Linked DNA regions of Alligator mississippiensis. The protein of the gene in region 1 binds, or shares a complex with, the protein of each later gene. Links are inferred from orthologs where the notes say so. Each region holds a gene or a part of one and is shown on either strand. Other genes may lie near its edges.

Evidence for each region.
Region 2: the proteins of RBL1 (region 1) and E2F5 are in contact, whole or in part, in a crystal structure (PDB 5TUV), measured with the Homo sapiens proteins. The link is inferred for Alligator mississippiensis from reciprocal best matches to the Homo sapiens genes RBL1 and E2F5. Residues at the interface, in NP_002886.2 of Homo sapiens: Ser1000, Ala1001, Leu1002, Leu1003, Tyr1004, Lys1005, Phe1006, Asn1007, Ile1017, Met1020, Ile1021, Gly1024, Glu1025; in NP_001942.2 of Homo sapiens: Met162, Ile190, Ala192, Pro193, Ser194, Gly195, Thr196, Gln197, Leu198, Glu199, Val200, Pro201, Ile202, Pro203, Glu204, Met205, Tyr213, Leu217.
Region 3: the proteins of RBL1 (region 1) and PPP2R2A are in contact, whole or in part, in a cryo-EM structure (PDB 9C6B), measured with the Homo sapiens proteins. The link is inferred for Alligator mississippiensis from reciprocal best matches to the Homo sapiens genes RBL1 and PPP2R2A. Residues at the interface, in NP_002886.2 of Homo sapiens: Ser615, Pro616, Leu617, Met618, His619, Pro620, Arg621, Val622, Val625, Arg626, Ser629, Leu632; in NP_002708.1 of Homo sapiens: Lys88, Tyr178, His179, Asp197, Leu198, Met222, Glu223, Glu224, Leu225, Thr226, Glu227, Val228, Ser247, Arg278, Ser279, Phe280, Phe281, Ser282, Glu283, Ile284, Ser287, Tyr337, Phe343.
Region 4: the proteins of RBL1 (region 1) and ARID4A are in contact, whole or in part, in a crystal structure (PDB 7SMC), measured with the Homo sapiens proteins. The link is inferred for Alligator mississippiensis from reciprocal best matches to the Homo sapiens genes RBL1 and ARID4A. Residues at the interface, in NP_002886.2 of Homo sapiens: Tyr849, Ile850, Lys853, Val854, Thr860, Phe861, Gln862, Met865, Lys866, Arg869, Tyr879, Arg880, Asp929, Leu930, Ile931, Tyr934, Asn935, Val939, Ala946, Leu947; in NP_002883.3 of Homo sapiens: Leu957, Val958, Cys959, His960, Glu961, Val962, Asp963, Leu964, Asp965, Asp966, Leu967.

Annotation. Positions count from the first base shown.
Region 1 is NC_081832.1:35,405,161-35,412,803, forward strand, and holds the start of RBL1 (retinoblastoma-like protein 1), read right to left. Parts: upstream 3,005-7,643; 5' UTR 2,964-3,004; coding exon 2,805-2,963; intron 1-2,804. UniProt on the Homo sapiens protein: Key regulator of entry into cell division. Directly involved in heterochromatin formation by maintaining overall chromatin structure and, in particular, that of constitutive heterochromatin by stabilizing histone methylation.
Region 2 is NC_081826.1:50,204,653-50,211,831, reverse strand, and holds the start of E2F5 (transcription factor E2F5), read left to right. Parts: upstream 1-4,170; 5' UTR 4,171-4,274; coding exon 4,275-4,430; intron 4,431-7,179.
Region 3 is NC_081830.1:23,496,115-23,503,700, forward strand, and holds the start of PPP2R2A (serine/threonine-protein phosphatase 2A 55 kDa regulatory subunit B alpha isoform), read left to right. Parts: upstream 1-4,586; 5' UTR 4,587-4,601; coding exon 4,602-4,638; intron 4,639-5,399; coding exon 5,400-5,474; intron 5,475-7,586. Other genes in the region: EBF2 (transcription factor COE2), read right to left, coding at 2,558-2,667. UniProt on the Homo sapiens protein: Substrate-recognition subunit of protein phosphatase 2A (PP2A) that plays a key role in cell cycle by controlling mitosis entry and exit. Involved in chromosome clustering during late mitosis by mediating dephosphorylation of MKI67.
Region 4 is NC_081825.1:295,274,610-295,282,242, reverse strand, and holds the start of ARID4A (AT-rich interactive domain-containing protein 4A), read right to left. Parts: upstream 3,015-7,633; 5' UTR 2,941-3,014; intron 2,607-2,940; exon of another isoform or gene 2,449-2,606; 5' UTR 2,376-2,448; coding exon 2,370-2,375; intron 454-2,369; coding exon 343-453; intron 1-342.

The DNA.
Region 1 (7,643 bases):
CAGAATTAGGGGCTGCAGGAAGAAATGCACATGGGCCTGCTATATTTGTACATAGTGTTTGTTACCTTTAAAGTAGATGGTGAAAATGGTAAAAAAATTGCTCTAAAATACCAAATGGACTCCCTTGATCTCTTAGAAAAAGTAAGCTTAGCATTCAGCAGAAGAGTTTTGACATTGCTCTTTGCACCTTTACCATCAAAATAATGTTAGCATTTTCTAAAACAGTTTCTCAACCCAGGGGGGTCACAAGAATATATGAAAGGGTTGTGAACAAACTTTAAAAATGGATCATACTTTGCATACATTTTGAAAAAAATAGATGCTGCTTGTGCTTCACCATATGTTAACACTGTGCATACTAATAAACAGGGATCTGGGTTTTCCATCTGCTGTGGAAAAACATGAGTTTTCTTCTTTAAAGGAAAAAAAAAATGGGAAACTGAAGGTTTCCCCTTATAGGCTGGCAGAGTTCCAGCCTGCAATGGGCTGCTTGGGTCTGGGGGTAAAAAAGAGAAAGGCGGGGACCAGGCAAGGCAGCCATCTATTCAATGAGCTGAAACTCAAAGAAGAATTCTGTAAGTGCACAGAATGACCTTTCAGAACTTGATTAGTGACCAACTAAGGGCTTCTCTACTTATGTAATCATGCCAGAAAACCTGTGTGCACTTTAACTTCAGACACATAGCTTTAAACTCATACAGTGTTATTCAGGAATCAAATACCTCCATGGGTAGTCCAGACCTTATGCATTCACCTGAGACACAAGGGCATCTATGCTCTGATGATTGTGATTAATGATGTGTGATTAATTTTAATGCATAGGAACAGACTCAATTAACTGAGTCTGCTGGAGCACTCTATTGAGAACATCTCACATTTCAAAATGGTGGCAAGGGCGCTTTACCTGAAGTTCATTTGATAAGCTTTAGTTAAAGTGCCCCCCCCCCAGTGCCATTTTGAAATGCAAGGACCTTGAACACATGAGGCACTGCAAGCATTTTAATTATAGTGGCTCTGTAATTAAAATATACCCCACCCCAGAGCATGTGTAAAAATGCCATAAGTGACAGACCATAGATAGGGAACCCCCAGCACGGGTGCCAGACCATGGCATGCATTTTGCTTGGCAAGCAAGCCTCAGGGTGGACAATGGGGAAAGGGCTGGGGCTACACTGCCACAATAAGGGGAACCAAGAGGGGCCCGATCCCGCTGAGCCAACATCTTACAAGTTGAGGCTGTAGGTGTTTTGGCACTTTGCCCAAAAACGTTGCTGACCCATCTCCCCACCCTGTAGGTAGCAAAGCTTTCCTTTCTCACACTGGCCTTCTGACAACCCTATCCTACTCAGCAGTCAGAAGCAAGTCATCTGAGCTTGTGTGTACATTGGTCAGATTATCCAAACACACACTTACACTGGAATGCCATATCAGAATTTCTCTGGCAATACCACTGGTTTTTACAGCAGCATTTTTCAACCCATTGGTCACAAGAATATATGAAAGGGTCACAAAACAAACTTTAAAATTGGATTCTCCTTTAAAGGAGAAAACAAGAAAACATGGGAAGCTGTGGCTTTTCATGGGGAAAACATGGGAAACCATGGCTGCTTGGGGTCCCCCACCCACCCACCCACCCCCTGTCCCACACACTGGGGGCTGGGCCCTGGGAGCAGTCAGTTGGGAGTGAGGGGCACAGGGTCAAGATTGGTCATTTATTTTTACAAATAGGTCCTGGTACAAAGAGGTTGAAAACCACTGCTCTACATAATTTAAAAATTCTAGCTCTTTCTTTTAAAGAGCTCAGACTGATTTTTTTAAAGCAGAGCTAAATTGGCAGATAAATCAATCAGACTCTGCTGTATTATCTAGAGTCTTTCCCACCATAGTACACTCAGTTTCACAGAAGGGAAATTAAAGTCAATACTTAAACAATGGAAGATGTTCCAATACAATGATTATGGCCAAGTAATTGCTTCTGCAGACAGACACCGCATGCGGAAGAGGAGCTGGGTGCTGTATTTTACCCAAGGTACTGCAAACACCTCAAAGGGACACCATACTTCGGGGTTGGGGTTGTTGTTTTTTCAAAGACATTTTTGTGTTCCAAGCCGAATCAAATCCAAATCCATGAGTCAGTCCAGAACCGTAAGTGGCCCTACAACCAGCAAACATCCTCCACCCCCACCAGGAGCTTTAAATGTTTCCAAAGTCTTTTGGCAGCCATCCTACATGTAGGGCCAAGCCCAAAGGCTTGGGGTTGGGATGACCCCCAAGTGTCGCCTGCCCTCAGCCATATGGCTGCAGGAACAAGCTAGGGAGAAGCCTCACTTTTATATAAAATGGGCATTAAGCCCCAACACCTTGGTGGGTACTAAACCACGCCAGAACAGTTATCCCTGAGAAGCTTAAGGAAAACTGCCTTCATGGACCCAGATACATGGCGTTTCCCCTGCCAGGTAAGCACAAGCACACCATGCCTAGGTGCAGAATGAACACAGGAATCTGCCCCAAGACCCGATGTTGCCAGTCTCCTTCAGCTGGCGCCAGCCTCGGACGAGCACAATTATAGCCGAGCGGCTCCGGCCAGCAACGCAAGGAACCACCGCCACCCGCTACGCTACAAGCCCCGTCGCTCAGAGCGCAGGCGGGCAGCGGCTGCCTCCCCGCTGCCCTGCGAGTCATCCTTGAAGCAGCGGTACCCGCACATCAGCCGGAGCCACCGCCCCTCCGCAAGCACTTTCCGGCCCCGCCCAAGCCTGGCACCAGCCGGGGGGCGCGGCCCCGGAGCTCGGGCCGGCTCTCACCTCCAGGCTGTAGGTGCCCTGCAGCGCCGTGAAGTCCCGCAGAGCCGCGGCAGCGCTGGCCGCGTCCAGGTTGAGGTCCTGACAGAGGCGCTCGATGACGACGCGGGCCGCGCCCTGGGCGGCTTCGGGGTCCCCCGCAGGGCCCTGCTCCAGGGACATGCCGGCCGCCCAGCCCCCGCCACCCCAGCCCAACAACCACGATCCCACAAGCCTTCGCGTCCAAAGCGCCAAAATCCTTCCGCCCCGCCCCTCGCTCTCGCGAGAACGTCCTCGGGCGACTCAGCCCGCTGCAGCTGCTGGAGTGGCTTCTGCGAGCCTGGCGCAGCTCTTTCGCGTCCTGCCGCAGCCAGTCGCCCCCTTTGTTGATACGCTGGCTCGGTGGGGTGCCACGACGTGGTGACAGGACAGTGGCTGCGCGGGTTCTTCCTCTTGCTGCGAAATGCTCCAGGTCCCGCTGCGCGGCCAGGCGGGCTGGGGACGCGAGCTGACGGGAGGTCCTGGACCGCCTTCGCCCCGGGCGCAGCGTGAAGCCCGGGGACTTCAGCGTTCACTAACGGAGGTTTAATCCCGGCGTCCACATGTCGTGGGACAGTCAGAAATGCTGATACTGCTCCCTCGCTGTCCGGGTAATGCTTGTGAGGAGCAATTTTCTCCCAGACGTGCCGCAGAGCGGAGGACCTGGTAACCAGCTCTGTTGGTTCACCCTTATAGCCTGGTTGGTCTCAGCTGCTGTGCTGTTTTCTGGCCAGTTCCCACCCCCACTGCTTCTGCTTTACTCGCCTCCGATTGCTGTGACTTCTTATCATGCAGCTGCCTGTAGCTACGCAACCATGTAGTGAGCATAAATTAGATTGCTCTTAACTCCTTGTGGAGAAAGGGCCCCAATCCACTGGCATGACAGGGAGACTGAAAAAAAAAGTCAAGTAATCGGCCATAGTGAAATAGTAAATACTGCATCAAGTTCCCATAGTTGTAGACTTGTAAAGTACTCGGATCCCCTATATAAGTGTCCTTAAGCTAAGGGTTGGGTATAAAGAGCAGAGGCTAAGGACTTGGTCTGAGATGGATGTAGCCTTTCTCTGGAATGGAGAGGAAAAACGCACTTAGTGCTGACCTCTGATGAGAGCAGGAGGTCTGGGGAGGATCAGTTTTGCCTTTTAAGGTGGGTGGGCAAAATACATTCCACAAGTCACTTCCAGCCAGCCACACCATTCTAGCCCATGGGGCCTCCCCAAAAGACAATTATTACCAGCCCATGGTTGCCCCTCTGAAAGCCAGCAGGAGGCTCAGCCTTTCAGAGGTCATGCATCACCAGGCTGGGCTGACCTTGGGGCTCCCAGCACTCAGGGCAGGAGCACCATGTGGCAGCAGGGAGCCAGCCTGGCCCGACAGCTTGTAACTCCCCAGCACTCCAGCAGGGAGCCACGCATGATGGAGCCCAGTGGGCTCCATGCCACCACATGCAGTTCCCGGGTACTCTATCCGGGAGCTGCGCAGCATTGGGCAGGCCGGGCTGGCTCTGTACAAGCACATGGGGATCCCAGCACTGCAGGCAGGAGCCACACACCATCAGGCTGGGCCAGGCTGGCTTTGTCCCTCCATGTGCGGCTCTTTGCTGAAGTGCTGGAAACCCCTACGTGCTGGCCTAGCTTGGTGGCATGCAGCTCCCTGGGCTGGCACTTCAGTGGGGAGCCGCACACCATTGAGCCAGTTCTGTGCCACCATGTGCAGCTCCTGCAACTCAGCTGGAGCCGTGCACTGCTGGGGGGCTCTGCCCGCCACAGGAAACTGCTGCTGCTGGCAGCAGGGGCTATTCACCATGGGGCACTGTGTGACAGGGCCCCCCCCCCCCCCCCATCGTACCTACTTCCAACCGCCCCCCAACTCTCACCCCCAAACAACACCCGCACAATATACAAGAGTAAGACTTTATTTTGTGCTATTATGCAATTGCCTCTATATACACTACACAAACACACAGAAATCAGGACAAAAATATTTTTTGAAATAAAATATGTTCTAGTAGATGTTTGATTTTTAGTACATGATTTGGGAGTTTTTTTGTGGTTCCAAGATGGCAAGCCCCCCTCAAAAAAACAGTACTTCTGGGGCAAGTAGAGGGACTTTCAGTGGCAAAGATCAGGGGTTAGTGGTGGGACGTCTGGCCCCAAGACGGCAACCTGGGAATGTGGCTACCTCAACAGCTCACCAAAAGTCAGTAAGTGGTCCTTCAGCCGAAATAATTGGTCACCCCAGCTCCAAGGGCACATCTACACAAGACATTTACTGCAGTTGCTTAATTAGCTCCATAGTAAATGTCTCAGTGTCTTGATATGCAATGCTATTACAATAGAGTAAACTAATTAATTCTGCCATAGGTTAGTGCTTGTAAATACAAGTAGTGTCCTGTGGCGGAGTTTTTTTTTTTCTCTGCATCAGCATGTGTGTAGATGCTTATATAGCTGGATGGAGCACAAGGGTGCTTCAGTGCAGGGTCTGCCTGCTGGCTAGCCTCACACTGAAGTACCCTCATGCACCAGCCAGCCCCTTTGCAGCACGTTGAGCCAAGTCAGAGTAGCCCCAGGCTTGCAGGCTGACCCCCTACCTCTGGGGCCTCCTGCCAGCTGGGGCTGCTCCAACCTAGCTCAATGTGCTGTGGACCCAGGCACATGTCCAAATGCAGTGCCCAGGGGCAATAAACTCCGGCGCATAATATGCGCCAGAGTTTATTGCTGCACATTTATAGCACATGTAGATGTGACCTAAGGGTAAGAAAAGATCTGGATAGGGATTAATAATGCTGCCCTAATATAGTATGTAATAATAATAAATCATAATTTTTCACATTTCCCTGCAAAATGTGCAAACTTTCTTCTGTTATTTAAGGTCAGATGTACTTGTGAATGCAACTTTCCATTGAACTAGAAGACTAGGACATAGACAGGGTTGATAATCTGATAAATGAGACAATTTTATGCTATTTTAGATTATAGAAGAGTAGGGCTGGAATGGACCTTAGAAAGCCCCCTGTTCAAGGCAGGATTATTCCTGAATAAACTATCCCAGCCAAATGCATCTATAGTTGAAAATACTTATCCACCTCCACAGTGAGAAAATTCTTCCTGATCATCAACCTAAATGTCTTCCACTGTAGTGTGAAGCCATTGCTCCTAGTCCTGTCCCCTACAGCAGCAGAGAAAAGTCTTATTTTCATCCTCTATAATCTCCATTCAGGTATTTGAAAACTTATCAAATCCCCCCTACCAGTCTTGTCTTGTCTATACTGAAGAACCCTAGTTCTTTCGACCTTTCCTCGTAAGTCATGTTTTCCAGACCTCATCATTTTTGTCACTCTCATCTAGACTCTTTCTTATCTGTCCACATCTTCTTGAAGTATGAAGCTGTAAGAGGACCTGTGACAAGGGGCCATCACGAGGCTGGTCACAACACCAGCCTGTGCACCTCTCTAGGGCTATCCACCCACCTGACTCACCTGCCACTCCTTTGTTGGAACTAAAGAGTTGTTTGTACATAGGCAGGAGGCTGCCCATTTATTGCCTGATGCCCAGGGCATAATACATGGCTCCAAGCCATCCCTACACCATGTTTCATGCCTTCAAAAATCACTTCAAACTCTCCTGGACCCTTAGCTGGGCTGCACTCGGCCTCTGACCTACATTTGGCCTTGGATGTACTTTGGCCCGGTCTCTGGCCCAAACTTGGCCTCAGATGTCCTCAGACATGCCTTGGTCATATGCTTCCTTTCTGGGGCCACAACTCCACCCCATCATTGGGGCCTCTACTCCACTCCCTCGCTGGGCTTTTGTGCCTGACATCCCTTAGGCTTCATTCTGGGGTCCTTGCCGCTATGGGCTCCTTGCCCTTCATCTCATTCTGGGCTCCTTGCTTTTATGGGCTCAGGTCCCTTGCTGGACCTTGCCCATGTCTCAGACCCCACCATGCGCCATATGCACTCTGCCTTACTCTGTATAGTTTCATAGTTGGTAGGGTCGGAAGGGACCTGAGCAGATCATTAAGTCCGACCCCCTGCCATGGACAGGAAAAAATGCTGGGGTCAAACGACCCCAGCAAGGTGTCTATCTAGCCTCCTTTTGAAGACCCTCAGGGTAGGAGCCAGCACCACTTCCCTTGGGAGTTGGTTCCAAATCCTAGCCGCCCTGACTGTGAAGTAGTGCCTCCTGATATCGACCCTGAATCTACTCTCCGTCAACTTACGGCCGTTATTCTTTGTTACTCCCGGTAGTGCTCGGGGGAACAGGGACTCTCCCACTGCCTGCTGGTCTCCCTTGGACAGTTTATAGATAGCCACCAGATCCCCTCTCAGCCTTCTCTTGTGGAGGCTGAACAGGTTCAGGTCCCTTAGCCTCTCCTTGTAGGGTTTGCCCTGCTGCCCCCTGATCATGCGAGTGGCCCTCCTCTGGACCCTCTCAATGTTGTCCACATCCCTCCTGAAGTGTGGCACCCAGAATTGGACGCAGTACTCCAACTATGGCCTGACCAATGTCATATAGAGGAGGAGGATCACCTCCTTGGACCTGCTTGAGATGCATCTGTGGATGCATGACAAGGTGCAGTTAGCCTTCCTGACTGCATCCCCACATTGGCGGCCCATGTTCATCTTGGAGTCTATAAATTATTCCAAGATCCTTTTCTGCCTCTGTGCTGATGAGAAGGGAGTTCCCCAGTCTGTAGGTATGCTGCTGGTTCTTTTTCCCTAGGTGCAGTACCCTGCACTTGTCAGTATTGAACCCCATCTTATTCTTATCCGCCCACCCCTGTAACCTGTCCAGATCCAATTGCAGCCTGTCCCTCCCTTCT
Region 2 (7,179 bases), on another chromosome or scaffold:
CATTGGATTAGATTACTTAATGAGGCTATAGAATTTCCATCCTGGATCTTTAAAGAGCGGGTTAGACAAGAATGGTTGAGATGGAGATGATCCTGCCTAGAGCAGGACTAGATGACCTCTGGAGGTCTTTTCCACGCCTATTTTTTCTATGTTTCTATCAAAGAAATAAATTAAAACTAATCTAGAGCTAGAAAGTACTATGTAAAAGAATTCAGAAACAGGGTTTCATCTAGGGTGGTAGTTTTTTTCACTGTTTACAACACCAGTCACTGTGCTATAGAATGGTTTTTCTTTGCTAGAATATGAAAGGTTCAATTACTGTATGTATTAACAACATATGCAACTACTTTAGTAGTGTTGGTGTGATGTTGTAACTGAGGGTCCAGGAGATGCATGAGAAGCAAGGATTTTGTGGGCAGTATATTTTGAACTAACCGCCTGATTGGGATAGATTTAGACAAGGTTTTGAATACAGTTAGTCCACAAGGTGGAGCTATTTGCTTTTAAATTATTCCTTATCTAACAAGAAAACTGTTTAAATCTGAAGGCAGGCAGAGATCACTCTGCCCTGCCTTGTGCCTAAACCAAGAAGAAAGTGTTTCCCTTCTCCACCCTTGCCTATTCAGTAGGATTTCTTCCACACTTTCAGGATGTACTGTTGTGGAAAACATTTTGTATAGCACCAAAATCACACAAGTGACTAACTCTCATTTAAACCTTGAGCATTCTGAAAATATTAAAAAGAATACACGGCCTGCACACACACCAAATTTGCCATTTAAAATCTTTAGCCAATTCAGTTTCTCTTAGGATGTTTCTTATCCCCTGTTTTATCCTTGAGTGAGTTGTGGTCCTGGTGAATTTTGTGGTGTACTGTAAGAGTTTACATAAACCTTGTTGCAGGGGTTTAGGTTGTAGCCGTGTTGGTCTAAGGACATAGGCAGACAAGGTTCCTTGGGTGAATTTGATATCTTTTATTAGACCAACCCAAATGGTTGGAGAATAGTTATTAAGCAAGCTTTCGGGTTCAAAAACCCTTCATCAGGCTAAGGAAGCTTCAGCAGTTGGTGTGCGCTCTTCCTGGATGGAATGAAAAGTAAACAAGCCAGGGGCTGGGGTGGGCTGGGGGTCAGTTGCCAGGCAGATTGTAATGTATCAAAAATCCAATGTCTATGTTTAGTTGGTCTAATAAAAGATATCAAATTCACCCAAGGAACCTTGTCTGCCTATGTTTAGTCCTTGATCTCGAGTATCCAGCAGGTTGATGAAATGGAGCTCATAGGCTCATCTCTGGGAAGTGTTGTGTAAGTTTCCCTTGAGGATCAGGAGTGAGAGATTGGAGAGAGAGTGGCCCTCCTGTGAGAAATGTGCCCCCACTGGTAATTGGGTGTTTCTGTCTTTGATAGATTTCCGGTGTGCGTTCATTCTGGTACGCAGTTGTTGTCTGGTCTCTCCTACATATCTTCCATCAGGGCATTTGGTGCATTGGATGAGGTATACTACATTCTTGGAGGTGCAGCTGTAAGATCCTGGGATGCTGATGGCTCTGTTGTGGGGTGTAGTAATAGTGGAGGTGGTGGAGATGTGGGGGCAGGTTTTGCATTCCTTGTCATGGCACGGTCTGGATCCTTTTGGTGTGTTCTGGGCTTGAGGAAGTTTGCTTCTGGTGATGAGGTTGGCGAGGTTTGGTGCTTGTCTGAAGGCTAGGATGGGTGGCTCTGGGAAGATCTTCTTAAGAATAGGGTCTTTTTCTAATATGGGTTGCAATTTTTTGAGGATTTTCCGTACAGGTTCGAGGGATGGGTGATAGGTCATAACCAGCGGTGTGCAATTTGTGGGTGTTCTTCTTCTGTACTGCAGCAGTTCTTCACGTGGTATCCAGGTGGCTCTTTCAAACGTGCGATCTACCTCTCTGGAGGAGTGTCCTTGCTGGGTGAAAGCCTTTTTAAGATTGGTGAGGTGGCAATCCTGGGTGTTCTCTTCCGTACAGATGCGGTGGTAACAAGGGGAAATTTCATAATCTAATTATATTAATATGATTATTCTACTATAATTGTACCACTAATTGTGCAGTCATGTTTATTATAGAATAAGAATGCCAAAAGTGCTAATTTTTTTCCCCAACTAGACAAACCCTAACTCTCTGAGCTGTTGTTTGAGGCAGAACATGGGTATCAGCTGAAACTTAAGTGGCTAGTCAAGTTACTGACATCTTTAATTTTCCCAGTGGGCTTTCCACACTTCATACCAACCAGGGTCAGCTGTATTCATTAAATCTAAGTTCAGCTGTAATAGGGGCTCTAGTTTTAAAATAATTTTGTTCAAAATGTTCACCTGGTATGAGATTTTCTAGGTAAACTTGAGAATAACAGTGTGCTATGGCTGCCCTGTTGCAGCTCACATTTTTCCAGCTGAGCTGGATTCCTTTGCAGAACAACCCAGTCATATTAGACTCGAAGATAAGTCACAGTTTTTTCATTCTATGGATGTGTGTATAAGTTTTTATTTTTATATCCATCTAGACAGCAAAAATTGTTTCCCTTTTATTTAGTCTGTTTTATAGCATATTTTTGTTTTTACAAATGTTAGCATTACTTGTGTTGCCAAATGTATTTTAAGCAGCAGGAAAGTGCCTATTTTTATTCCATTTTCCAAATTAATGGAAAGTGTTCTATAGGACTCAGGTTTTATAAATACATAAAAATAAAATTTTGAAATTTTGCATCATCTGAAACTAGGAAAGTGTCTCTGTAAGCCTAAAAAAGGCAGGACTGAATTTTAATAGATTAAGCTCTGTGTGTGCATGCGTGGTATATCCATCCTGTTTCTTTTTTGCTTGATTATGCAAGCATACAGGAAAGAATGTGAAAAAGCTGTTTAATCTTATCACAAATGCACTGACTCTTCCACGTCCAGAACATGTTTCCTTTCACTTCCAACAAATTCTTCGTTAAATGGCTGATGGCTTAGCTGGTGGTTTTATGGACTTAGTTCCCCAGTTACTAAGTAAGCAAAGAACTTTCCCCGGTAAAGCCAGGGAATGGAACTGAACCACCTATTACTGTGTCTGGTGTTTTGCTAATAATTAGAATTTCCATTCTTTGATTTCACAGTCTTACAAATGAGTTGTGAGGGTGGAGGCTGAGTGCAAGAATCTCCAAAGTGTAAAAATAGCCAGAACTGAAAAGGGTCAAACCTTTTTTTCCTAAAGTCTTGGGCTTAGAAGAGATGGAGCAGTTGGTTTGTCACTAGGTTGTAACCTGTGTTTGTATTTTCATATTTTAATTTTTACTTCAGTATCTTAGGTTTTAATCTTGAATATTAATATCTGATATCAGTTATCATCTATATTCGAGTGTTTTAGTACAAGTCTCTGGATGTTTTTGGATCTGGAAGACGTGTTCTGTAACGGACTGAAAAGTGTGTGCTCTCTGAGTAAGTCCAGGCCTGCAGCTCCAGCCTGCCCCTGCCCCGCACTTCCAGGACAGGCAGAAAGGTGGTTGTTTGAAGTGCGGGCTCCCGTGCCGGAGCCCGGTCGGTCCCAGCGCCCTGCCGCTGCCCCGTCTCGTCCCCGCTGCCTTCGACTTCATCTCGGGAAGCGGGTCCCTGCGCACCGCTCCGGGCCAGGTGGAGATGATGGCCCCGGCCAGCCTCCCCCTCCGTGACCGTGGGGCACCGCGGGCGAGAGCGCAGGGCTCTCCGCACTGGGAGGAGAGTGGGCCCGAGCCGCTCGCTGCGCTCTGCCCTGGGCGTCTGCTGCCCCCTGCCGGCCTGGGGCAGGGAAGCCCGGCCCCGCGTGGGGCACGGCTCAGCACGGCTCGTGCCGTGTAAACAGCGGTGGGAGGCCGGGGGTCCCGCTCCGACAGCGCGGCCGCGTCGGGGAAAGGAGGCAGCACGCGTCTGTGCCTCGTGGACTCTCACGTGTGTCTACTGCACAGGTGGGAGGTACGGGCGAGCACGCGCAGCTACATGCGCGCCCCTACCGACCCCGTGCGTACACACGTGCGTGCACCCCCGCGTCTGTGCGGGCGCGCGGCCAGGCCGGGCCCGGGGACCACTCTGCCCACACGAGGGCCCGCCGCCCTCCCCTCCCCTTCCCCGCGCCCCAACAAAAAGTTGGTCTCCGGGCAACGGCGCCGCGTCACTTCCTGCCAGGCCTGGCCAGGCCTCCCCGGGCCGGGCGCGTTTCGCTCGGCTGTTGTGGCCGCGGCGGCCCGGGGACACGTGGTGCCGCCGCCGGGAGGGAGCCGAGCCGCGCTGCGCTGCGGGCCAGCATGGCCGCCCTGGCCCCGGCGCCCGCCACCGGCAGCGGCAATGGCAGCGGCGCGGGGGGCGGCAGCAGCCGGCACGAGAAGAGCCTGGGGCTGCTCACGGCCAAGTTCGTGGCGCTGCTGCAGGAGGCCAAGGACGGCGTGCTGGACCTCAAAGCGGTGCGGGCCGGGCCGGGCAGGGAGCTGCTCTCCGCCGAGCAGCTCCGGGCGGGCGAGTGGGGGGGCGCGGTGCTGGAGGAGCCCCGGAGCTCCCCCGCGAGGCGCCGGCACGAAGGAGGGAGGGAGGGAGCGGGGGGCCGGGCTGGCGGGTGCTGCCCCTGGCCCGGCTACTAGGAAGGAAGGGGGTGAACGGGGCAGGGGCGATCCCTGCTTTGGGCTCCTCCCGCGTGGGTGGTAGCCTGTATTGGGACCCAGCTTGCCTGTTTCCGCGTGCAAGGCACCGGCGCTGCAAAACATCATTTTAAAAGGTTGCTATCTTCCGTAGCTTGAATCCCCCTGCAGGGAGACCTCAGTTTAGAGCCATACTCTGACTCGGTGTCGCCTTTTAGTGCTGGGGTGTGGAGGATTGAAAGGCCTGTGGTGTTTTATTTCTTTCTTTAATTTCCCCGGGAGAACATCCCACCAACCCCCCCCTTCACCGAAGGTGCAGTCAGCTTGTTCTAGAAGCACCTGCGATTGCTGCAGTGAACTTTCAGAAACACTTTTTTCCCATTCGGTTTGTTCCCACCATGCGTTCAGCAGTGCTGTGTACCATGCGGCTGCCTGACTGGAACTTCTTTTTTTTAAGTCATTTTCAAGTTCACAGGGCCTGTCTCATCTACTCGGGCTATAATATGTGAGCATCCTAAAACGCAGTGGTTTTGAAATACAGTGAAGAAGAGGAATTGTCTTGGTTTTCAGTTGGATCTGTGCAGCCAAACTGGCGCATATGAGTATTAAAAGACTTCTTTGAAGTCCTTGATGTGAATTTCCCAATAAGATGCATGCTGCATCACTGGCCAGGAGAGCTTTTAAACTGTCAGCATTGTTCAGTGTTTGGAGTGGATTGACACTGAGGCCACTTGCGGAGGAGAGTGTGCAGAGACCAAATCCTGGCCTTGCTGCAGGTCAGTAGCTATGGATGCCAGCTAGAATCTGAGATCTTCTCTGAGTTCTCAAAAATCCACATACTTACTTAGTTTTTCCTGAAATTTGGTGTCTCTTATGGTGATGCGGTATAGTTAATGTTCTAAATTTGGGGTTAAGTGAGCAGGAAGTTCCCAAAATATTCCATGCCTTCCATGAAAACTCTCAGCTTTTTTGTTTTTGCACAATGTGGGAATCAAAGTTCAGACTGAGCTTTCCCCAGATGACCTCAGTCACTCAACATGCCCCCCATCCCTTTGGGGAAGCTCCCATTCTGGGAAGAAGTATATGTAGGAAGGAGGAAGGGTACAGGTCCCATTTTGGGTGGGGTGTAAGCCCCTCTTCCTGCCCCCTGTGCATGTACAGGAATCTAGCTGGCCCTGCCTCTTTAGAGTGGCCTGAGCTCTTCCACTACTCTCCAGGTAAGGCAGGACTTTGTTTAAGTATGCCCCACCCCTGCATGGAGTGAGAGAGCTGTCTGAGACAGGGAGACACTGAGCTTTCACTTGTCATTAAATCTATAGACTACATAATCTTCTACCTAACTGCTGATGATACCTTAGCAAGAAGGTATCCTGCTAAGCACCCAATCTATGCAACATAATGTTGACTCTCTCAACATGCACATGCACCTGTTCCCTTGGATCACACATGTAGGCTCAGGCCAAGGGGCGCATGCCTATTTTATCCTATCACAGTCGCAACTCTGCCAAGCTGTTCAAACTAGTTCTTCTCCATTTGCTACAGCTACACCTAACGCAGTGCTTATGGACCATTCCCATTGGCTATTGCAAGTGTTAGCGAAGCAGAAGTAACACTGCAGGGGCTTGTGCCTTATCTCTTCTCACCGCTGTCTCTGCATTAATGAAATTTTTCATCACTGAAATATAACTTCAACAGTTACCAAAGAATCACCTCATATGTCACACATTCTGAACATGAGTTTCATGCTGAATATTTGTTTTCCAGGCAAGAGCCTTCTTATGGGAATAGTCAGATAATATATTCCATGGATAGACTTACTCAAAATGCAAGAATTAATGACTCTTCTATAGCAACTTTTCCACTGAAGGCATTTTATTTTGCAATACTAAATATGAAACATTTGGAGAGCTGGGATAGCTATAGTAAACTGGTATTTTCTCTTGAAGTCGGAGATAGTTTTTAAACCACTTTGGCACATCTTGAAGAGTGACCGGTTTGCAAAAAAAGATCTCCTTGTGTCCATACTACAAAAAGGAGGAGACTTGTTGAAAAGTCTTAGGAGAACTTTTCAAAAGTGACTAGGGAACTTCAGAATGTAAATCTTGCTTAAAGCTGATGAGACTTAGGATCCCAAGTCACTTTAGCATTTTTGACAGCTTTATCCCAAGTTATCGGACCCTATATCACGACATTTTATTAAAGGGATGATATTCTTTTATTGTTCAGCCTTATACTATTTTTTAAATTCCCTTGCCCATCCCATGTGTTTGAATGAGAGAAACAGAGTGAGTTAGGGTTAGCTAGCTATTCTCACAAATGTATCAAGAGGTGATTTGGACCCTCTGGAGTTGAAGGTGCTCTCCCATTCCCTCCCAGCAATAAATAAGTCCTGTTCCACCAACTTGCCCATTACTCTTGCGTATTCTTCACTGTCTCCCTGTCTAATATCAGTTCTGTGCCTCCCAGTGTTCCTCAGTCTCTCTAGGCTTAGGGGAAGGCATCATTCATGGTGTCTGTTTAACCCCTGTCTTAGCTGACTTGAAGATGATAAGGAAGGGCAGAAGAATTATCCCCATTG
Region 3 (7,586 bases), on another chromosome or scaffold:
ATGTCTAACAAAGCTCTGTGCTGTGAAAAGCTCCTTGGAACTTGTTGCATAAATGTAATATTTATAATTACTAATAATAGTTCTAATTTCATAGGTAGTGAACATATGATTCCCCTGTTTAAATTAGTGAAGCATATGCATGTAGTTAAGAAATTTTGTGAAACTGTAGTAATTTTGCACTAATAATTTACACTAGCATATGACTGCCAAATCACCAAATGCATACAAGCAAAGACTACATCACAAAGGTGTTCCACCAGGTAATAAGGCTGTGATTTAATGTTAATTATTTATATGACTTCATTATGTTCTGTAGCCAAGTTGTTTATAATACTAAAACGTATTTTTTAATCTCACAATGTTTAAGTGAAGAGTCATATCTTTTCTAGAGGAACTTTGCTAGTTACAACAAGTTGTAATAGTTTCTTTAATCCACGATATAAAGCTCTAATTGCATTTTTTTTTTTTTAATTGCAGGATTTTTTAATCCACAGGAACTCCATGCCAAGGGCTGAATTAATTTCTGAAGCCCAAATTAATGGATTAATTCAGCCCTATTTGCAAAGGAGGCTCACTAAGTGTTGGCAAGATGTCTTCCTCCGAGCTGTGCAGAATGTTGTCAAGTCATTCTGAAAGAATAGGGATTTACCAGATTTCATTACAAATTTTAAATCTGGTCCAGGCTGGAACAGCCCTTTGTAGAGACCTACCACATAGAGGTGGAGCAGATCATAATGTCCCCCGAGCTCTGGGAAATGTGGAACTATATTTTTATGGCTGTCCCTCAACTCCCCAGGCATCCAACAAGCTGTGATCCTGTTGGCCTATGAATATCCTTAAGCTTTGGCTAAATTTGTCTCTGGACTTCTGATTTGCTCTGATGCCTACAAATAACACGTGGCAGGGGAGATAACATGATGATGGTTTCAGCCCATGTGGTTTTACTCACTTGGCCGGGGATATTACAAGTATATTACAAATAAAGTAAGTACTTACTTACTTACTTACTTACCCTTTTTCTCCACCTTGTGGGTACAGACAGAAGTGCAGCTCCCAGATGTAACTGAGAAGGCTTTGCAGGAAGCCTTCTGAGTTACAACTGATGTCCTGGAACAAACTGAAGTTCACTGTTGGCTCCAGGGGGAGGGGAATCTAGCTGCTGGCTGCCAACCTGCCCCTGGTTTCCCCTAGCAGTGGCCCAGCCTGTTTGTTTCAGGATGGGAGAGGGGAAAGGGAGCAGAGGGAGCTCATTCTAGGGGTTCCCCAGCCTTTTCTGGAGGGTGGGGTGGGTGTACTGGAGCCCCCCAACCTCGGAGGGCTCTAATACACCTGCCCACACTCCAGCAGGGGCTGAAATACCCCCAGACTGAATTTCCTCTGCTCCCTTTCCCCCCCCCTCCCGCCCCGAAAACAGCTACAGGCTGGCAGGCAGTACAGACAGAAGTTATAAAAGACTCTGTTTCCAAATGTCTTGATCTGACTGACCCTGCATACAATGAGGGGTCAGATTTTCACGTGATTGGCCATTTTTGAAGCTGTCTGCAGCCATGTACTTATGTTTGGTCACCGCTATAAACTGCTTTCTATGGCCAGATCTGGCAAAAAAATGTCACTTCTGTCTGCGCTCTGGATGACTTGGTGTGGGGTAACGGCCTGTCCCTTGCACTGCAGGTAGGCTGACCCCTGCTAGAGTCCACGAAAGCCTCTTGCCTACCCCGTTTATGGTGCTGGGCAATTGCTCTTGGGCTTTCAGTGGTTCCCAGTCTGTGGCACGGGTACCACCAGTGGTGCACATTGACAGATGTATTATAATTACTCGACGTGACCAAAATTTTCTGGTGGTTGAACTGGAAAATTTGCTGGTGGTACTTCAGGCTGTATTGTTTAAAACTCACGGTGTGCAACCTGTCCGAGTTCAGGAACTGCTGCTAGCTTATTCCTTCAGCATTTTGGCTATGGGGAAGCGGGACTGGGAGCACCTGAGCCCCAAGGCCTCCAGGCTCGGGGCTTGCATGCTTCCCGCGGATTCGGGAGCATCTGAAGCCTTGGGCTGAAGAGCAGAAAGGTAGGACACTTGCTGCCACCAGACTTGAGCTCTGTTTAGCGGGCAATTTGGAGCCCATCTGGCCTGAGATGTGACATGTAGATTAAAAACGAGACAAAAGGAAGCTTACAAAGAAGCTCCCTCAATTTTGGAGGAGGCTGGCTGAGGATGCCAATGCAACTGGTTTCTCTGGCCGGGGTGCATCCCTGCTGCCTAGCGGCTCTGGACCCAGGTCGGAGGGAGCCTTTGTCGGGTATCTGATTCAGTCGCAGTCTTGCACGGGGCCCTTGGCAGGACGGTGCCGGGCTGCTCCCCCTCCCCGGCGCCGTGGCGGGGTGGGGGAGGGAGGGCAGCCCAGCCGCCGCCTCGGGGGGAGGTGCCGAGACGTGTGTCGGGGTGGCTCCGGGCCGGGGCCCGGGGCTGTGCGGTGCTCACGTCTCCCAGCCGCCGCGCGGGAGGGCTCGCGAGGCCGGGCCCGCCTGCCCGCGCCCCCCGCGCTCAGTTCGCACCCACCTCCGCGGGGCTGCAACTGACGAGGCTCCGAGCCGAGCAGCGGGGAGGCGAGTCCTGGGCGGGCCCCGCCGGGGCTCCGCGGGGGCTCGGCCGGCGCGGCGAGGCGACATGGAGGCGGCCGTGGGGGCGGGGGTCGCCTCACGGGACGGTTGGGGGACGGTTGGGGGCGACCGTTGGGGGGGGGGGGCGGGCAAGACCGAATCAGCGCCCCGCCCCCTCGGCGTTCTCGCCCCTCCCTCCTCGCTCCGGGTGACGTCACCCGCAGCTCCGCCGGCGCCATTTTGAAAGTAGACTCTTAGAGGGGGGGGCAGGGAGGGAGCCAAGAGCGGGCGAAGCTCGAGGAGCCGAGTCGGTTTCACCCCCCCCCCCCCCGGTACAATCTGCCGCCATCCTCCTCCGCGGCACCCCCCCGCCCGGCAAACGGGGGCGCTTCTAAGAGCGGAGACGTGCCACTATCAGACCCGGCCACCATTGGGAGGCCAACATGGCAGGTAAGGGGAAGGGAGCCCCGTCCTTCCCGGGTACCGGGCGCTGCAGCCCGGCGAGGGCGGGGAGCGGAGCGAAGGGGGCGCAGCTGAGGCCACGGGGCCGGGGCGCGTGCAGGGAGCCTTCCTGGGGCTGCACATGTCTGCTCCCTCTTTCCCTTCCTCCTCTTTTTTTCCTGCATTTCCCTGCATCCTGGAGCGCAGTGTGCAGAGTCCGTTTCTCCCGCTCCTGATTTCCTTCCTTCCTCCCCCGCCGCTTCCCCTCCCTGCCAAAAGATTTGCGTTGCAAAAGGGCAGCGGTGGGGTGAGGCGGGGGAAGTCCTGTGGCCCTGAAGTTGAGTGTGGAAGGGGGTTCCGGGTAGGGTGGGTCTCTCCTTTATTCCCTGTTCGACTTTCTGCTTTGGGCCGGCAGATCTCTCCCCCCCCACCCCCCGCCGCCTCCCTGGAGCGCAGGCTGGTGCTGGCGGTGTAGACAGGGCTGACAGAAAATGGTGTTTGAGTGCATTGGCATCCTATTGTAGAGCTCACCTATAAGACATCTGCAGATAAGAGTCAAATCAGACTCTCAAATAAAAAATACCTGCTCTTGGGGTGGGGGTGGGGTTCTCTTTTTCTTCTTTCTCATTTTCTTCCCCATTTTGCAAATGGCTTTACTTCATGTACAGAAGTGTGGTTGGTAGGACACGATTTTGTTTTGTTTTTTTACTTTTCCCCTTTGAATTATTTTTTTTCGGTGCTCTCTTCCTCCTTCTCTGCAAATAAATTGCATTTTTTATTCTTTGCATTTGGGGAGGCTCTGTTTAGGTTTGCATCTTGCCTTCTCCCCTACACTACAGCTCCCCTCTCTCCACCCATCCTTGTCTTTTTAATCAATGGAAACAGGGTCTTGAAGGCAGCAAGTTGTTTGGAAAATGAAATTCAGCTTGATAGTTAAGGTGTGGTGGCTTTTCCTGCAAAATGTCATCCTCAGAATGCTTCCATGATGTGAAGTGCTAAATAACAAATATCAGAGGCTGGGTACAAGTGAGAAATTGAGGATTCAGGTTTTGGGGAGGTGGGAGAGATGGTGTGGTAGGGTGTACTCCAAGCAAGTATTTTTCATAGGTGAACATCTTCGTGATGCTTCCTATTGCTGCAGCTCAGTCTAATTCACTAATCTCTTGGTGCTTAAAGAACCACCAAGTTCAGACTCTTGTCTGATCCATTTCAAATGCTGGATTCCCCTCCCTAGTGCTGAGGCTGGCTGTTGATGATGTTTCACGGAGAAAGCAGCTTGCTTCTTCATTCTTAAACTTAATTTAACTTGTTCCTTCCTGCATGCCCCTTGTCCCCAGAAGTGGTTTAGCAAGCACTTTGCAAACTGCATATGTTGCTTAGTCCTGGGTTATCATGGCTGGGAGGGAAGTCTCTCTTAGAAAGAGCAAGCTCATTTCAGTCTCTTCCTGTATGTACCAGCCCAGTGATTTGCTCAGCATGAAATGTAAAAGAAATGGGTGGTGGATTCCTGCATGTTTTGGTGGCAAGGTTCAAATGAATCACTGCCTTCCGCTGAAGCAGTAATGTTTCTGAAGCTTTCTCTTCGATCCATTTTCTATGGTAGTTACATTTGTTAACTTTAGGTAGATTTCAGGGATTTGATGTCTCTCTTTTTCCTCTCTCTCTCTGTCTCTCTCTCTCTTTTTCTCTTTCTTCCCTAGGCCTTATATTTACTCCTGGTACTTCTGTTGGGGAATTGCAGAGTTGTTGTAAAATTTCTCTAGTCTTTAAGTATTTAGTTGTTGTAACATTTTAAGGCAGCCAAAATGAAAGTCAGTTTTCTTTGAGATGTGCAAAGGTTTTAAATGTTTGTAATGTTCTGAAAATCATTCCTGGACCTAGTATTTATTTTTAAATGTAAATCACTTGTAAGTAGAGATCTGTTTTTTAGGTTTTACTGAAGTTCTGAAGTGGAAAAATGCTTTGATGCGAAATAAGCTGCTGTTCTTTTGTTTTCACATAGCATTGTTCATGCGTTCTCTTTTTAAACATAGCATAGTTTAACATTTAATTGTAATTATTTTGGTAGTTTTATGACTTATCTAATTGTAGTGAAAAGCTTCGATCATTCTTAGCACTACTTTAGCCAGATTGTGCTTTGAATACAAATTGCGAGTGACAAGCGGTATCATTTTGGGGGAAGCACTTTGTAATCAAGATTTTGGCAGCTCTGCTTTGGCTTGGGAAGTCTTGGTGGTGGGTGTGTACAACAGGCTCTGAATTGTTGCTTGCCAGCCCTAGATGCATGCTGCCTCAACTGGAGCAAATAAAATTTGCAAACAGTTTTAACTGGGGTCTCTGCTGCTTTTTTTTGCTTCCAGGAGCTGGAGGAGGAAATGATATTCAGTGGTGTTTTTCTCAGGTGAAAGGGGCTGTAGATGATGATGTAGCAGAAGGTAAGAAAAGAACTTTTATTTCTTTAAGTTACCTGTCATTATCAGTTCTGGCAGTGGCAAACATTTTTAAATAATCTTCTCTGCTGAAGTGTCTTTGTGAAAATTGAACTTTATTTTTATATAACTATAACAAAGTAGGTAAAAGCAGTGAAAAATTAAATGCATATCTGAGTTTATGTATATTTAGACTCCAAGACTTGCATCTGGGGTATGGTGGGTCCAGCTTGGGTCCAAGCTCAGATATGGTGTCTATAACTGACTGGACTTTTTTTCAGTCACATTTCGTCCGTGTGTTGCTTTACACAACTTGCTGTCAAATGGCCACTATTCTCAGTTGTGACACTGCTATTTATTTGTTTGTGGGGGTTTTTTTACATCCATCAAATATAGATAGTGATGCTTGTTCATATTCCTGGCACAGGTGTTTGAAGATTGATTAATGTTTGTGTAGCACTTCTAAAGACAGACGGTGCTAGATAAGTCACCTAACTTTGTTCTGATCTTTCTGTCATACATAACCATCAAGACTATCTTAACCTTTTAGCAATTAAACATTCATTGTTGAGAGGTTTTGTTTTTAGGACTAAAGTTATTAAAAACAGCCTTAAATTTTTGTAGTCAGGTGTTCTTGTATGGCCAGACATGGATGTCACTTTAGCAATGAGCCTGGTTTCAGTTCTGGGGAAAAATTCCACTTGTAGTTTTCAAATGTTACTTGCTTTGCCTAAGCCCTTTCTCACCATTCAGATGGCTAGGCTGAATGGAGGCCTAGATCCTGCATGCTGCTCTGTAGGGCTGGATACCCAAGCATCTGTTTTGCACAGACCAGCTTGCAAGATCAGGAACTAGAAGAATTTTGTCTTGCAGGGAGTTGTCTTCACTGTATGTAATTTGGGTCAGCATTGTATAGGCTTTGCACTTTCTAACTTGCAGACAAGTGTTAGATTTTCATTGCTTCTAGGAAAGAAGTAATTAACATTCTTTCTATTACTTCAGCTTTTTTTGAGTTGTGGTTTGAAGTACTCCAGGCTGGGTAAAATATGGACCATGGGCTGGGTCCAGTCTGCCAAGGGATTTTATCCGGCCTATGGTGGATCCCTCAGCCCTGTTGTCCCAGGCTCGGGGCAGTCCAGGCTATGGCATGTGCAGCCGGTCCTCGTGCCTCTGGGCGTGCAGCATGATTGCGGCAGCGTAGCAGCTGGGTTCGCTTCCCAGCAGTCCCTGCAGCAGCACCTCCTTCCAGCTGCCACAGCCAGTCTCTGCTACCAAACTCAACCCTGCTGCCAGGGCACCGTGACCTGTCTGCCCCACACCCACTGCTGGGGTTGCCAGACAGAGCAGATGTGTGGGGTATCCAGGACCCCCATGGGCAGGGCGTGCTTTGCTAGGTAGATGGGATGAGGCCATGGGTGGGTGAGGAAGGGCATCTGGGAGCAGGGCAGGCAGACTCCCAGATGTTAACAATCTGGGAGTGGGGCTGGACGCAGGGCTGGAATCTTGGGGTGGTGACAGTGTGGGGCTGGGGCCCCAGGGCAGATCCCCAATCCATTGCCTGTACACCCCTGCAGTGGGTGCCAGTTGTGCAGGCAAGGGTGTGGGGCGAGTATATTGAGGCGCTTCCCCTGGCCCTGCACTTTCACAGCACCGTGATCTCAGCCCTGGCCCCGCTGGCCTGTTCCACTCCCAGATGCTGCTGCTCCCTTGCCCACCTGTGGTCCCATCTGTTTGCCTGAATGCACCCTGTCTGCGGGTCCCAGGCTGGTTTCCATGGAGACCCTGGGATTGCTGGGCAGTGAGAGTGTGGGGCCTGGGGCATAGTCGCAATATGCTTCCCTCACGCCCCTTCCTGCAGAGCCGGCACCTGTTGTAGGGGTGTGCAAAGAGTGGATTATGGCTTGGTTTGGGGCACTGGCCCCTCGATCCTGATCACAGTTCTGGCCCCGCTCACCTCTCCCTCTGTCCCCTACCTGCCCATGGCTCCATCCCATCCACCGGGCCAAGTGTGGGGCAGAGCCAGGGAGGGAGTTTTGGTGAGCTGTTTGCAGGGGGTAGGAGTGGGAGGTGTTGATTCTCACTCTGCCCCAGGACAGCTCACCAGAACTCCTTAAGTGG
Region 4 (7,633 bases), on another chromosome or scaffold:
AAGTCATAATCTTGTTTGTGACATCAAAACTGATTGCTGTGGAACAGCTGTCGTCACAAACATAAGATTATAAATTCAAATGAGAAATAAGTAGCAAGAACAGATAAAATTATTTTAGAGACTATTGTACTCTAGCATCCTTCAAAAGAAAAGAACACATATGCACTAAACTAATTGCACCAATGGTTTTTGGGAGACAGAAAAAAAACTTTATAAGAAATGTCCACAGATCTGTTTAGTCATACATAAATTTTAAGAGGCATGATTTTCCTTGGTGTTCCTGTGAATATTACCTTTTTGAATAAGAAACAGAAAGATTACCACTAATATAACGAATTCTACCTTGACTTTCACTAGCCTTTTCACCGTCTTTATCTTTGCCTCACAAAAGGCACCACGGTACTTGGCACTGACATCAGTCCCGACTGTTAAGTAGGCAGGCTCATCTGCTGCCTATCAAAAAAAGAAAACATGAAAACAGTTAGTCTCTCATATTCATATTTTGTTAAAAAAAGAAATTCATTAGCAACAAGCATCATACATTCAAATACGCACCCAAAGTTTCAGTCCTGTTGACCATTTCTTCACAAAATCCTAAACAGCAATTTATGTAGCTACTGTAAGTCTGACCTTTCTTTAAAAGGATGTATGCTAAAAAGTTAGCAATTTGTTGACACATCTGCTAACAATGTCCCTTGATTTTGTTCCATAAAAACAGTGGAGCAGGATCAGACTAAGTGTTTTTTCCAGGCAGACCCAATTTTAGCCAAGATATTTTGAAATGTTTTAATCAGATTTAAAGTTTCACTGTCTCAGTATAATTTCTAAACAAGATGCACCAAAAAAAGATTAACAAATTGATCTTGCTACAACAGACACAAAAGGTGTTTTATAAACCACATACATGCAGAGAACAAAAAAAAAAAAAAGCAATTTCAACAAAATAGACTCTGTAAGAAAAATGTAATAAGGAGGGGGAAAAAAATCAGAACTGCCTATGTCCCTATTCTGTCATTTACATCTAGGCATACAATTTAAAATAGCAACTTAAGAAATTTAACTGAGAAAAAAGAACAAGAATGAATCAAGGATGATGTGTTATAGCACTTTTTGCATCATACCAAAATACTTACAAGTGAATAAATACACGAGCTTTGCCAGGAAATTTCAAAATAACAGAGTGGCTAAGCCACTTACTTAATACCGAGTTCATGGATAAGTTATAGGAAGTTCTGTTCAGCTACTAATGTTAACCCATGGTTTTTTCAATGACTCCTCTCTCAGTAATCCCAAATCAACAGCCTCAAAGTGTAGCATGTGCTTACAATAAGGAGGAAAAATATCTATCTATCTACCCAAAGATCATTTCAACTCATCCTTGCAAAGAATACAGTGGGAAAGTGATATTTCAAGTTGAACAGAGATTGTACAGTTGTCATTTCAGCAGTGATACATTAACAAACATAGTCTATATTTACTTTAAAATATTCATGTGCTGATATCCACTTAAAAAAAGAATCCAATTTGTCATTTCCATGCAGTGAACAGAGTTCTATCCTACTGTCTATCCCAGATTTCCAGAAACAGGGAAAAAAAATACACCAAGTTGCTATAACCTTTCAAACAATTATGTTAAATGCTCTTCTTCTTCCTCAAAAGTCTTTTGTTCAGATCTTTATCCTCTCAAAATGCAGGCAACCTTAGAAACTGTTAAGCTCACACGCCTGTATCTGGGAATGACTTAACATAGTAATCTTTTGCTTGGCTTTTTACCATGACTGAGAAATGAGGTACTGCACTTTAAAGGAAGAAGAAAAAAAAAAAAGAGTCGAAATACAGTAAAACAGGAAATCGGTGTGTGCAAGGAATTAATGTCAGGCTCTAACTCCGTGTTTGTTCACCTCCGCAGCCAAGAAAAGTTCGTCCCACTTTGCAAACGATCCAGCGATTGTTTTGCCTCGGCTCTGCAAAAACCGAAACAGCTCAGGCAGGACAAAAAAAAGTGGCGTGTGGTTTGTGCACACTCACCAAAGCTGCTGCTAATACAGGAAGCATTTAAAGGCAGCAGCCCGAAGGCCGACCATTCAAAGGCATCCTATCTTTCTCGAGCAGCGCAATGGCATCGGCTGCACCTCTGTCAAATGGAAGGCACGGGATTTCACATGAATCAACATGTGCTGATGTCCACGGCCGGGCCGGATGTTATTCTGCTGTCGCTGGAGGAGGACGCAGCGGGACGAGCAATGGCACGAAAGGCGCCGGTGACGGGGAGGAGAGGAGGAAACAGAGGGAGAGCGAACGAGCGAGCGAGCGAACGAACGAGCGAGCTCCGGCGGCGAGGGCGACGCTCCGGGGCTGGCTCCGCTTACCTTCATCTTCCAAGCTCAGGCGCGGGGGTCCAGCTCGACGACTCCTCCTCGCCGCCACCGCCGCCGCACGGGGGAAAAACTAGAAGAGGAGAGAGACGCACGGTCAGAGGAGGCGGCTCGGGAAAGGAAACGTCTCGGCCTTCGCGATCCAGCCACAAGTCCGGGGTTGATCATTAAACACACCCCTCCGCACTGGGCGGGCTCACACTTTGCACACAGCCTCCGCGCACACACACGCACACACACACACACACACTCTCCCAAAACACACAGAAATAAGCACACGCACGCACTCCCAAATACGTGTGCACACTCGCAGCCCCCCTCCCCACACACACGCGCGCGCGCGGGCTCCTCACCCGCCCGGTGTCACGTCGCCATTGCTCCGCTGCCCCGTGTCAGGCGGGAGCCCTCCCCCCCCGGGCCCCGCCGCCCCTCGCAACTTTCCCGGGCGCCGCCGCAGCGCGCGCGGACCGGCCGGGACCCGCCGGCCGGAGCAGGCTGGCGCCGGGGCTCGGGCCGGGGCAGCCGCCGCTCGCCCCCTCCCCCCCGCCCGCCGGCGCAGCCCTACCGGACACGGCCCGGGCGGCGCAGCGGCCGCCTCAGCAACGACGACGACAGCGGCGGCCCCCCCCACCCCGCGCTCCTCCCTCCCCCCGCCCCGACTCGCCAGCCCAATAACAAGCTGTTGAGCGGAATCGGGGCTCCGCCCGCTCTCATTGGCTCGCCGTGACGCCCGGGGGGCTCTGCCCCGCCCGGATTGGGCGCCGCGGACAGCACCCCCATTGGCCGGCGGCGCGGGCAGCGCATTGGCCGGCCGGCGACGCAGGTAAGGCGGCGCGGGCCGGCGATTGGCGGAGCCCCGCGACTCGGCTCCATTGGGCGCCGCCGAAGTGAAGTCAGCGCTCGCCGAGCGCCGGTTGGTCGGAGCTTCTCGGCGGGGATTGGGGGTAGGGGCCGGCGGCAAGGAGCTGGGCCGCGCGGAGCATGCGCAGTGCTCGAGGCCGCCCGGCGCCATTTTGTGAGGGGCTCTTTCCCATTTTAGGCCGCGGGAGACGGGAAGCGGGAGCGGCCGCTGCCTCCATCTCCATCATCATCATCTCCGTTCCCGTGCCCTGCGGCGGGGCGGCCGCTCCCTCTTCGCCCTCCCGCCCGCCGTGAGGGCGCAGCGGTGCTCGGGAGCCGGGCCCGGAAGTGGAGAGAGCCGCCAGCCCAGCCCCCGCCGGGGAGCCGCGGCCCGAGGAGGAGGCGGGGCGAGGAGCCGGGCGGGAACCGGCCTCGCTGCTCCCCGCCGCGCCGGACGAGTGAGGCTGTCGGGGTGTGCCCCCGTGCGCGTGCGTGTGTCCGTGTTATTGAGAAGCGAAACTGCTCTTCTTCCGCCCCCTCTCTCCCTGCCAGGCCGCGAGGCTGAAACCGGAGCCCGCTCTGAGGGAGCCGGTTTGAGGCTCGACCTGCCCCTGCTCGAGCCCCTTCGGGACACCGCAGACACCCCGAGCCATCCAAGGGCCTGGCGGGGCACGCGGCTGTCACCCACGGGGCTCTCGTGTCCGGTGAACGGCGGTCGCACACCTGCGCGCCAGCGTGCGGCACCCGCGAGAGGACCTGGAGGCGCTGGGGGCCCCCGACGCCCCGGCCGAGGACCCCTGCGTCGGCGCCCGGGCGGTACGTCCTGAGCGGCGGTTGCGCGGTGCCGGGCGGTCGGTCTTTGGTAAATTTAGACTCTGGTTTATCTTTGGTACGTTTAGACTCAGCAGGCCTGTTTCCCCTTTAGGGTAAATGGGGCTAATTTCATAACGTGTTTCCAGATGCTCAGTAACTATCGGGACTCGTATTTTTTTCACACTACAGCACGTCCGTCTTACAATAAAGCCTCTTATTACGGTGAATTTTAGGAGGGAACGAAGCTCATCAAAATGTGCTTTGCTCGTAAAGACGTGCAGCATTTTGTACGGTCGTTCTTGGAGTCGCCACATGGTAAATAGGTCAAATAGGGTTTTGTACCTTGTTTTATAGGTTAAAGCGAGCACCTAAACTGAAGACCTGAATTTTAAATACAGCGTTAGCTTTAAACATGGTAAAGATTTAAGCTCGGTTTAAATCTTTACCACGCATTTAATTACTTGAAGTAAGTAATGAACTTGAAATTTGAGATGGGTCGAATGCCTTTGCTAGCACTCCTGTACCTACCTGCTGCTGCTTGTTTGGGCGCTCGCCCCAGCGAGTGGGGATTTGCAGGCATTCACCGATGGGGAGCTCCTTGGGGGATCAGGACTTAAGGTATTGTCTGCTGAACTATGCCAGGATCAGCTGTTTGCAGCTTCCAAGTCTGTTCTGGTTTTAGGGTTTGGTTTTATTAAATTTGAAGTGTCACAAAGAAACAGACAATCCCTTACACTGCTCTGGGGGAAAACTTATTAGTTGGGTCATATCTACTATTACTTTGAAGGTTAATGCGTTAGGAAAGAGGTGACTGGGAGCCTTTAAACCTATATGCTTGAAGGTCAGAGTTGTGTTGGGATCTTTTGAGACTGGTAATTCTTTGGTAACTGGAACAAATAGTTCAAAGAGTTTTCTCTTTTTTTAGTCCTTTAGGGGTTTTTCGTTTTTGTTTTTTCATTTTAATAATTGAGAAATTCAGTAGACTGGCTTCTTTACTCATGAGACCATTAGTTCTCTTTATAAACTGTTCAGATTCTGTAATGGATAGACTGGAGAGATGGTATTACTGCTTACAACACAGGATCGATTTTACTGTCATCATTGTAAGCGTGTCTAAAGCACGTGAGCACATAGCTTGGAGGCTGGCCCTTTGACCCTTGTATCATTTGTTTGGAATGCAGTGCTCAAGGCATGATTTAGATTGTGAGTTTTGGGACAGGAATTAGGCTTTTATATAGTGCTGCATACACCAGCATTCAGTAAAATGTCAGTTTAATCCAAAACTAATACGTCTCATTTGGCATCTGTAGCCCAAGCCAAATGCTGGCCACCTGCTGATGTGTCATTGGCAGCAAAGACCATGTGGAAGGTTTAGGAAGTTCCTGATGTATTAGTCGCATGCTCTAAAACAAAATAGTTTTTGTCTTGTGGATGAGCCGGACCACATTTGATGTATAAATATGAAAAAAGTCCAAAGGGGAGGCTAGCCAGTCAGGTCACCAAAGAGCCTAAACATTCTGCACTGCTCCTCTTTATTATATTGCATATGATCTTTTTTTTTCCCTCTCTTTCAACGAGATGTGAGAGAAGCTATTTGATTTAGTTTAGATTTTTGTTTTTCATGGAAACATGAATTTCAGGATTCAGTATGAAACAAATGTTTTATGTGTTGACATTTGAGAGTTTTTTTCTTTTTGTTCAGTTGAGGGGTTTTTTAGACACATTGCAGTGTAACTACTTTACAGTTGGAGCCCAAATTAGGGTCTACTGCATATCATTATTTTTTCTGCCCTCACTTTAGGAGTATCTTCTGCGGACACAAGTTTTTGTCATTTAGTGGATTATATAATACCTCCAGAAACCTGATTGCCATACAAAACTACTCCTTGGGAGGAGAGGGGGCTTCAGAAGGAGAGAACAGCTCCTGCTGTGATTTATGTCAATAGGAAGACTCTTAATTTTTCTTACATCTTTCTGCCTAATCTTTCAAAGAGACATTGAAGTCAGAATTCTTACACTGTGCGTTAATGTAAGAACTTTATGTAAGAACAAATTTTGGAATTAGTTGAAAGATGAAAAGCTGTCCATGTCCCGTACTTCTCATGGTCCAATTAAACGTAGGTCAGGGGTTGGCAACGTTTTTGGGCAGAGTACCCAAAAACACCCACAACCTCAACTTAAGTTGGGGTGCCAGTGGCATATGGCAGGGGAGCAGCCAGGGGCCCAATCCTTATTGTGGTAGTTAAGCCCTAGCCCCTTCTGTGCTGTCTGCCCCAAGGCATGCGCGCCAAGCAGATGGCCTTTGTGTGACACATTCTGGCACCCATGCTGGGGTTTGTCTATCCCTGATATAGGTATTGAGAAGTTTTAATCAAATATAAGAATATAGATGGTGAAAGACAACCATATCTTTAATTTTAAAAACCCAATACTTTGGAAGCCTTCCACTGACCAGATCTGTCAAAAATGATAGTAAGACAGAAACAGTGAATTGTGAATTTTATTGTATTGCTTACAGGAGCATAAATAGCAACCAAAAACAGATTGCAAAAAGATTTTTTTTCCCCCTCATTTTCTTCCCCTGACTAGATCATCCCAGCCAAGGCTTTGTTTAGCTGGGTCTTAAAAACCTCCGCAGCCTCTTTGGGTAACCTGTTCCAGTGCTTTCCCCTCCTAGTGAGGGAGTTTTTCCTTGTATTTAACCTTCCCTTGCTGCAACTTGAGCCCATTGCTCCTTTTTCTGTCATCTGCCACCACTGAGACCAGTCCAGCTCCGTCCTCTTTGGAACCCCCTGCAGGGTGTTGAAGGCTGCTGTTAACACCCCCCCCCCTTCTTTTTTCCAGACTAAAAAAACCCAGTTCCCTCAGCCTTATCAATCACATGCCCTAGCCCTCTAACCATTTTCATTGCCCTCAGCTGGACTCGCCAGTTTGTCTACATCCTTTCTGTAGTGGGGGGCCCAAAACTGGATGCAGTTTAATTTGTGTACACATGTAAGTCCAAATGGCTTTAGTTGCATTCAGAATACTGAACACTGCTTACCTGCTAGCTTCTCTGTCTGAGCTTGATAGACAGAATCCGGTATATCTTTGCAAGCGTCTAGAAGATGTGTGGGTGACAGGTCCTTGTGATGCTTGTTTTGTTCCTGGTTCTCTATTGGTTTTCCTTTGGTTTTTTTTTTTTCCCCAGGCTTCCTATCCTGTCTGATCAGTGGTGTGGATTGTGCTGGTGGTGAGCATATGTTCCAATAATGCCTCGACTTCACCCTTCCTTGAGGTTCAGGACCTTTGTGCCAGTGGAATTAGCATCTTTCTCCAGAACACGAGCGCCATATAAATGCCACAAAGCTGCTATCATATCATAGGTGATTATGAACTGTGGGGAAAGAATGTATAAGAAAGGAACTAACACCCATTAATAGTTGGGAGCTGTCACCGGGGGGTGGGTGCCAAGTCATGTAAAAGTAACTAGATTATAGACGGAGAAGAGTTGATCTAGTCTCTTGGTCAAAACGGAACACTTTGTCACTGTTGAGAAGTGGCAAATTACTAATTTGACATCTGGCAATGTTGACTGCTTATGAAGAGGTTTTGTTTGTGACCAA